Linked DNA regions of Tribolium castaneum. Each later gene encodes a partner of the first gene's protein in a complex. Links are inferred from orthologs where the notes say so. Each region holds a gene or a part of one and is shown in the gene's direction. Other genes may lie near its edges.

What was found. The genes of interacting proteins can lie anywhere in the genome.
Region 2: transcriptional adapter 2-alpha (region 1) and Mocs2B share a complex: the UniProt entries of both Drosophila melanogaster proteins name them as parts of the ada2a-containing (ATAC) complex. The link is inferred for Tribolium castaneum from reciprocal best matches to the Drosophila melanogaster genes Ada2a and Mocs2B.

Annotation. Positions count from the first base shown.
Region 1 is NC_087398.1:11,844,433-11,848,668, reverse strand, and holds the start of transcriptional adapter 2-alpha, read left to right. Parts: upstream 1-1,347; 5' UTR 1,348-1,428; coding exon 1,429-1,489; intron 1,490-1,532; coding exon 1,533-2,385; intron 2,386-4,236. Other genes in the region: rhodanese domain-containing protein CG4456, read right to left, coding at 587-1,018, 1,074-1,076. UniProt on the Drosophila melanogaster protein: Component of the histone acetyltransferase (HAT) complex ATAC; predominantly involved in acetylation of histone H4, including at Lys-6 (H4K5ac) and Lys-13 (H4K12ac).
Region 2 is NC_087396.1:21,505,797-21,509,615, forward strand, and holds Mocs2B (molybdopterin synthase catalytic subunit), read left to right. Parts: upstream 1-1,261; coding exon 1,262-1,506; intron 1,507-1,557; coding exon 1,558-1,739; intron 1,740-1,789; coding exon 1,790-2,047; intron 2,048-2,479; coding exon 2,480-2,697; intron 2,698-2,743; coding exon 2,744-2,854; 3' UTR 2,855-2,891; downstream 2,892-3,819. Other genes in the region: Wdr92 (dynein axonemal assembly factor 10), read right to left, coding at 10-140, 183-466; Mocs2A (molybdopterin synthase sulfur carrier subunit), read left to right, coding at 995-1,252; JNK1/MAPK8-associated membrane protein, read right to left, coding at 2,892-3,178, 3,229-3,398, 3,448-3,660, 3,704-3,819. UniProt on the Drosophila melanogaster protein: Catalytic subunit of the molybdopterin synthase complex, a complex that catalyzes the conversion of precursor Z into molybdopterin.

The DNA of each region.
Region 1 (4,236 bases):
AATAAATAAGAAATATTGAATTGAAACGCTTTTATATTAATCAAAAAGATTCAACCAGTGAATTCTTGAATGACATGTTAAAAATCAAAGCGCATGCGCGCGCACTTTTTCAATTTGACAATTAACATTTAAAAAATCCAACAAAGAAGACGAAAAGTTCGAGGAAACTGTCCCACGTTATTAAAAGTACGGAAGGGGGTCATGGAGTAGGTAAATGTTGTTTTCAAAACGGCGCTGATGTTTTTTTGCAATAAGTGTTTGTGTCCACATTGGCGCTGGATGCTCCTAACATCAACAAATGAAGAAATCGTATCTAATATCCACTTCAGGGCAAAACACATGCAAAATTATTATTTGGTTTTGCTTTTGTGAGTATTTTTGACTTATGGTGATCAGGCCTTTCAAAAGGTGTTATCATTCAAAAAATTTTTGACGAGATTTGTAGATTGCAAACTCTTTTTGACTTATTTTTTAACATTCCATGTTTATCACTTTTGTGCCGCAGTAAATAAGTAAATACGGCACTACCTAAATCCAAATCAAACTACAACCCCTACACTCATATAACGTATTATTTATTTACAACTCAAATATTTTTACTTTTTTCCTCCCACTCTAGCCACCCCCCGGAATAATTCTTTATATCTTTGAACCCCAACTTCGTCGCAATCTCGGACGCAAGGGCACTACGTTTCCCCGAACGACACGAAAAAATTAAGGGGGTGCTAGAATCAGGTTTAGCCTTTTTGTAAGTTTTTTGAAATTGTTCAGAAGGCATGTCTTTTAACACTTTCTCGACTTCGCCAAGTGGAATATTGATGCTGTCAGGAATAACTCCGGTTTCCTGCAATTCGTGGGGCTCCCTGACATCGATTAGAAGAGTCTTAGGAGTCGTTTTTACTGACTTGACTTCATCAAATGAGGCGATTTGCGTTGCGAAAAGTCTAAGAAAGACGGGCGTTTTGTTCACAAGGGAGAGGATTTGGGGCCCCCTTGATAGCGACATTGGTAACCTAACCTAAAAAATAATTATGTAATTAACTTAATTGATTAGTTTTTGTAAAGTGAACTACCATAGCGCCAATAAAGCGATTTTTACTATTTTTTATCGCCTGTTTTATTAAATTACGACAGTTTTGGCAAAAATCAGTTTGGAGACTTTTTACAGTCACCGTTGGTATCACACAATTCACACAAAACAAATTAGAGGTCCCGTGGCTACAATCAAATTTTCCCCAATTATTTTTTTTTTCACGTTTTATGCCGATTGCGTTCGAATTACATAATAATTTCATAAATAATCGTCAAAAAACACCGCACTAGTAAAGTGCTAGTGCTTTAAATTTTGCCAGGTAGGCAGCGCTTGCCGCTCACATAACCTATGCACATAACCTAAGTTTTTGTGGTATCCAAACAGTTTTCGAAAAAATGGCAAACGCAAACACCGACTTAACCGAAGAAGACGCCGCTGACTTGCAGTTTCCCAAAGGTGAGCCCCCTTGTTTACTTCTCGTTCTCAACTGAGGTTTCAGACTGTGGCCCCCCTGCGTTTTACTCTAGTGACTCTGATAGTGTTTGTTCGAATTGTTCGTGCGATTTGGTCGCGCCTTACATTTATTGCGCTTTGTGTAAAGTGAATATTTGTTCGCTGTGTTTTTCGAAAGGTGCGGAGTTTGGGGGGCACAAGAACGATCACGATTATCACATAATCCGCGACGATTTTCCGGTTTGGGGTAACACGGACTGGACGGCTCGGGAGGAGGTGGTGTTGTTAGAGTCGTTACAAAAATACGGGAACTGGAATTTAGTGGCGAAAGAGTTCCCAAATCGGAGTGTGAGGGAGATTAGGGCGCACTACGATTGGTTTTATTTAGACAGAAAGGGGTCCAAAGACTTGCCCGAGGCGAGCAAAAGGGACTGGTTTTGTGAGCCGGTGGTGCCCTACAGACAGCGGATTAGCGACACCGATGAGCCCCCTCGCTACTCCCCCAACACAGTGGGGTACAAGTCTTTGGCCGGTTATAACCCCGCGAGGTCCGATTTCGAATGCGAGTTCGATTCGTCGGCTGAGGATCTGCTCTCGAACCTTAAACCGGTTGATAAGGACGATCCTCATTTTGACTTGATCACAAATCTTCAATGTGCGATCATTCAGAGTTATAACCGGCGGTTGAGGGAGCGCCAAAGGTGGAAAAAAATCATAAGAGAACACGGATTGATTATTCTGCGGAAAGTTTACGCTTGGCTTCATCGGTATGACGTTACGATTACACGTCCTGTGTATGAAAAACTGATCCGATTTATGCAATTTTGTACTCCTGTCCAGTTCGAAATGTTGATGGAGGGGTTACACCACAGCGGCGAACTCAAAATACAAATTCTTAGGTTCATATCAAACGGTTGAATTAATATAAAGTTGGTTATTTTCCATAATAGCGGCTTATTGAGTTCCAAAAAAACACGACGGAGAAAAAAATGTTCACTAAAGATTAATAAAAACAAAGAAAAATGTTAAAACATACTTCAACAGTTAGTGGCGTGACGAAAAATAATACAATTTGTATTTTGGAAAAAAAAACACTTGTAAAATTCGATGAAAAATTCTCAAACTCTTCAATATTCACGGAATTTTACAAAACATTGTGTTCAACTCGTAAGTTTTTTCCAGAAAGAATTCACTTTTTCTATCTCGTTGCACAAATAGCTATTTACAATGGAACCGTTTTGGTTTAAAAAAATCTCGCGAAAAAAGTTATATCACTCGCTAAATGCAGAATTAACATTTTTTTCAAACAAATCGGCGCTTCAACACTCGAAAAAGCAAATATAATGCTAATTTCGTTCTAATCGCAATTTTTTTGGCTTCTTTTTGAGCAAATGTTGCGAAATAAATGTGTTTTTATGGATGAACGTGGTAATAAATCTCATAAATAGTAAAATATTGTCATCTTCGAGCAGATTTTTTAAGCAAGTTTAGCAAAATTTCAGTAAAAATTGCGTTTTACCTTAAAAAAACGAGCTTTAAAATATGATAGTTAAGAATATAATTACATATATATTTAATTATTTTATTTATTTATATAATATATAATTGTTATTATTATTTATATTTTATTATATTAAATATAATTAAAAATATAATATAATAATAACAATTTGGTGATTACGTTTTTTGAAGAAATGCTAAACTTTCGAAAAAGGCAGAGTAATTAAATTAAATTTCTCGTTCAAAAAAGGAACTTAATTGAGCAAAGTAAACTAAAATAACCCCAATTTAGATTTAATTCTGTGAATTTCTAGCTAGAGAATTTTTAAACACTTTAATTTTTACCTTAAAACATGTATAAAGGCTCACAAAAAGCTGCAACATAGCATTAATTTTGGTCTTTAAAAATCTTCGGCTTGCAAAAGCAAAAGTTTTGACTTAATTTTGTGATTTTTTTGAGTAACATCTTTTTTTGATTGATTGACAAAACTCCTCATTTTTTGGCCAAGAAAAACGATCGACTTTTGTGTTATCTCCTCCTGGTTTATGCTTTTATGTCATTTTTAAACACAATTTAAAAAAAAATGCTAAAACACGTGAAATTGCAAAGTAATGTTTTTTGGCGAAATATCACAAAATAAGAATTTTCTAATTATGTTGTAATATTTTAGACGTGTTTTGGCAAGATTATCCAAACTAAATAAGTAGTAAATTTACCAATCCAAAGTAAACAACAACAATTTCGATTTAATTTGTGGATTTTCAGTTAGTTTTTGCAATTTTTTTTATTTTAAAACATGCCCAAAGATACGAAAACGACAACATTAACACAATTTTTGGTGTAATTGTAAGGTTAATAAAAATATATGAAAGAGAATTTTTAGCTAAAAACGAACTAAAAGGCTTTGAAGAATTTTTGACAGACAAAATTCTTCAAATAGCTGTAGCCTGACGAACAAGAAAAACGTTTGACTTAGTTTTGTGATATTATTGGTATTTCGTTCTAACAAAATCTTGCAAAAACGAAGTTACTTTACACATATTTCGGCAATTTTTTGAGAAATTTTTGCAAAGCTCGCAAAATAAATATTCTTTTATCTGGTTGAAAACCTTGGTTAAACATGAGACATAGCAAATAGTGCTACATTCGATCCAGTTCTCAATTTTGAAGAATTTTTTAAAATAAATAACTTTCTGGGAGAAAAACGTAGTAAAAAATTTAAAAAACAGGATAATAACATCGTTTTCGA
Region 2 (3,819 bases), on another chromosome or scaffold:
TTACAGTACCGTCTTTAGATCCGGTGGCTATTTCGGGGGCCCCGCACCCACTGGCAACCCCCGCAACTCCATCAATGGCGTTAATGACCCCGCGGTGCTTCTCCGTCTTATAAATCGGGATTAAATTCTCCTCCAAATCCCTACGAGACTTAAAAATTTTGGCCAACTTTTGGACGACTTACCAGACTTGTAACCGCCCGCTGAAGTCGCCAGTCGCAAGGTGGCGGTCTCTTAAACTCGAGGCGTGAAACGTGCCGCATTTAAAGTGGTCTTTCTTGCCGAATTCGGCCACTTTTTCGATCCCATCACCACTGATTGAGTAGGTCTCGATAATTCCAGCCCCGTTTGATTTGCCCCCGATTGAGACGAATTTCGCGGAACAGGGGATCCACTTGACGTCGTGGACGGTGTAGTTCAGGGCTTGCTGCACGTGGCAGATTATTTGGGGCCTTTGGAGCGACTCCATAACGTTTGATTGATCAAACAATTGTTGTCATAGCAAAGCGCATTTTCGGGGGCAATAATTGCCCAAGTTTAAATAAAACAAGCTGTTCTCGTTACGTTTTTAATTATTTTGTTTTTTTTTTTCACCCCCGTTATATCCTGCAATGTTCTTTATTTTTGCAGGAAATTAAGCCCTTCGTTAGGGCCTTCGACTGTAAAAAATCATGTTCGGACAAACAGCCATTGGGACCTTTTTTTACGGCTGTAAAAAAACAATTAGCAATACATTTAAGGATTGCTCTAATTAGTCAAATTATTAACTAATTTGTCCAGCAAATTAGGTTTAGAGCATTCTTGTCAGGAAAAAAGGAAACAGCTTCCAAAGCATTCGAAAAAAAGATTTTTAATTGCATTTTATTCGTAAGAAAGTGAGGTTAAAAATTTGACAACTTGCGCTCTAAATATGTCGTTTCAAATATAAACAGAGTAGTGATAAAAGTAATTATTTTGCTTCAATTCGGTGATTATGTAAGCGCAACAACACTATGATATGTTAGTGACCGTCAAAGTGTTGTTTTTCGCTAAATCGAGAGAAATCGTGGGCCAAAAATCCGCCGAACTTGACCTGCCGTCCCCCATCTCCTACAAAAAGCTTTTAGAAACACTCGTCGGCACGTATTTTTTGGCCGAAATTGCCCAAAACATTATTCTCTCCCTCAATGAGGAGTTTTGCGACGTGGAAAGTGTCGAAATTGTGTTAAAACAGGGCGACGAAGTAGCAATAATCCCACCTCTGAGTGGCGGTTAGGGCCCCAAAATGAATTTTTTGAAATTCACCGAAGACAAGCTAAGTGTTGAGGCGTTGACTGATCTAGTCGCCTCGCCGAAATGTGGCGCAGTCTCGGTTTTTATGGGGACCACCAGAGACAGTTTCGGGGAAAAAACCGTCCTTAAATTGGAGTACGAGGCGTACGAAGCCATGGCTTTGAAGTGTCTCGAAAAAGTGTGCGGGGAGATCAGGGCCAAGTGGCCTCAAGTCGAAAATATCGCAATCTATCACAGGTTTGAAAAATTTAAATTGGGGCCAAATTTTGATTTTTTTTTGTTTAACAGACTGGGGGTTGTGGGGGTCAAGGAGGCTAGCATTGTAATTGCAATCGCGTCCCCCCACCGTACCGAGGCGCTGCAAGCCACCGACTGGTGCATCAACAAGGTTAAAGAGAGTGTGCCTATTTGGAAAAAGGAGATTTACGCTGAAACTGAAACTCCTCCACAGTGGAAGGAAAATAAAGAATGTGGGTGGTCAAGTAAATAAAGTCTAAAATTGATTGGCTCTCATTTATAGCCCCCAAACCGAAAAAATTCAAGCTCGAAATCGAGCCCAAAGTCGAAATTCCCAACGTTTCGCCCCATTTGATTCAAATCAAGGCCTCAAACGCGGACTTGAGCAAACGAATCGAGAATTTTATGGAGATGAAGCGAAACGAAATCAACATAAGCAATGTGAGAGAGTTTTGCACAAGTAATCGAAGTTCAGAGTTCACTTGCGCCCGAGTCGATGCGGTTTTGCAAAAACGCAAAGACTCCAATGGCCATTTGCAAGGTTCGTGGCCCTTAAAAAATCACAATTTTACGATTTTTATTCCAATTTTTACAAGTCTGCTAAAAGTATACAACTGCACAGGGTTATTCTATTTGGCACCAGACATTTTTCATTAATGTTTAGAGAACACATTTTTATCTGAAAATAAAAAAATTAACGAAAAAATTAAGACTTTACGGACAGGACACAAATGTGCCGAGCATGACCTCCTTGATGTATGCAGACAACTTCGTTAAAAATAATACATCAAGGAGGCCATGGCGCCGAGTAAAAATTGACTGAAAAAAAAGAGCAAAGAAACTGCACGGTCAACACGAGAAATATATTTTTAACAGACTAACCCTCTATAAATTTAGCAAAAAATGTCGGGGAAAAGTGCTACTTTTCGGACGATTTTCGAAAAACAAGTATTTCAGACTAATTTTTTTGCAGTAAGTCGGGTTTTGAACACTTACCACCGCGACCAAACAAATTCGGACTACCTGACCAAATACATCCCCCAAAACGGCATTGAGGAGCGCCTCCAAAACCTGGAAATCCAACTCAGTTTGACCACCCCAACCCCGAAAAATATCTACACCCGTTTGAAGAAACTAGAAGACCGGATATTGTTCCTTGAAACGATTTCGCCCGAATATATCAATTTTTGGGTAAGCTTTTTGAGAGATTTCCCTCCCTTTTTAGTGAAATTTTTAGGACAAAAGCCACTTAAACAATAGATTTGTGAAGAAGAAGGTTTTCTCAGTTGAGGAAATCGATTCGCTAATTAGCGATTTGGAGCGGAAGGTTCAGGAGGAGAAAAAATAAATCTGTTTTTAGTTTATTATTATTATTAAAAAATAAATTACGTAAATATTGTCGGGTCGGTAAACCTGGCCGTGAAAATGTAAAAAAAAGCCGGCAGTGGGACCAACAGTAGCAACAATGAGTGAAAAGTCGGGTCACTAAGCTGAGTTATTGAAATTAAACCATAGGCGTGTAAACACCAATGGCCCACTAAGATTACCACATTTCTCGGGTCTACAACTGTTGTTATGATGAGTGAGGGAATCGATTGGTTGATTTTGAGGGCAAAGTGATAAGCACACGAAATAACTGACAAAATAACGACCAAAATTGGGAACGCATAATCTGGAACAAAACCAATCAAAAGTGTGATTTTTGGCGCAATCATTACGTACAAAGAAGTCCCCCAATTAGGGCATGGACCACCACCAAAATCGGTATATAGTACATGGCGGCATAAATCGACATTTTGCTCTGCCTTGGAAGGTATTTCCGGCAAACCCATGGCCTTATCAAAAGCATAACAATCAAAGTCAGGGCATAAAAAATAAAAACTAGCGTATACCTAAAACAAAAACACTCAATAAAGTAGTATAATCAATTAGTAGCCCTACAAGGGATACACAGCCTCCTGGGTACAATGCACCCTCTTCTCATAATCCGGGGCCGGATTATGCAACAAAGTGTACCAATCGGCCAAGCTGCGCACTCTGCAGTTCCGCACCTGGAACTCGCCGAACGGGTGCGTGAAAAGCACCGACAAGAGCCCCGAAATGACCACTTCCACCAGCGCAGTCAAGTGTAAAATTAGGACGTCTTTTTTGAAGCTACAACGAACAGTGAAGGTGTGACGGGCAATAGGGGGCTCACCTTCGTCGCATCGACACCATGTCGATGAAAAACCAGTGCAGAATCTGGACCAGGAGCACCATAAACCCCAAATAAAGCCAGTCGTAGAACGTGGGGCTGTCGGTGCACGGCTCGCA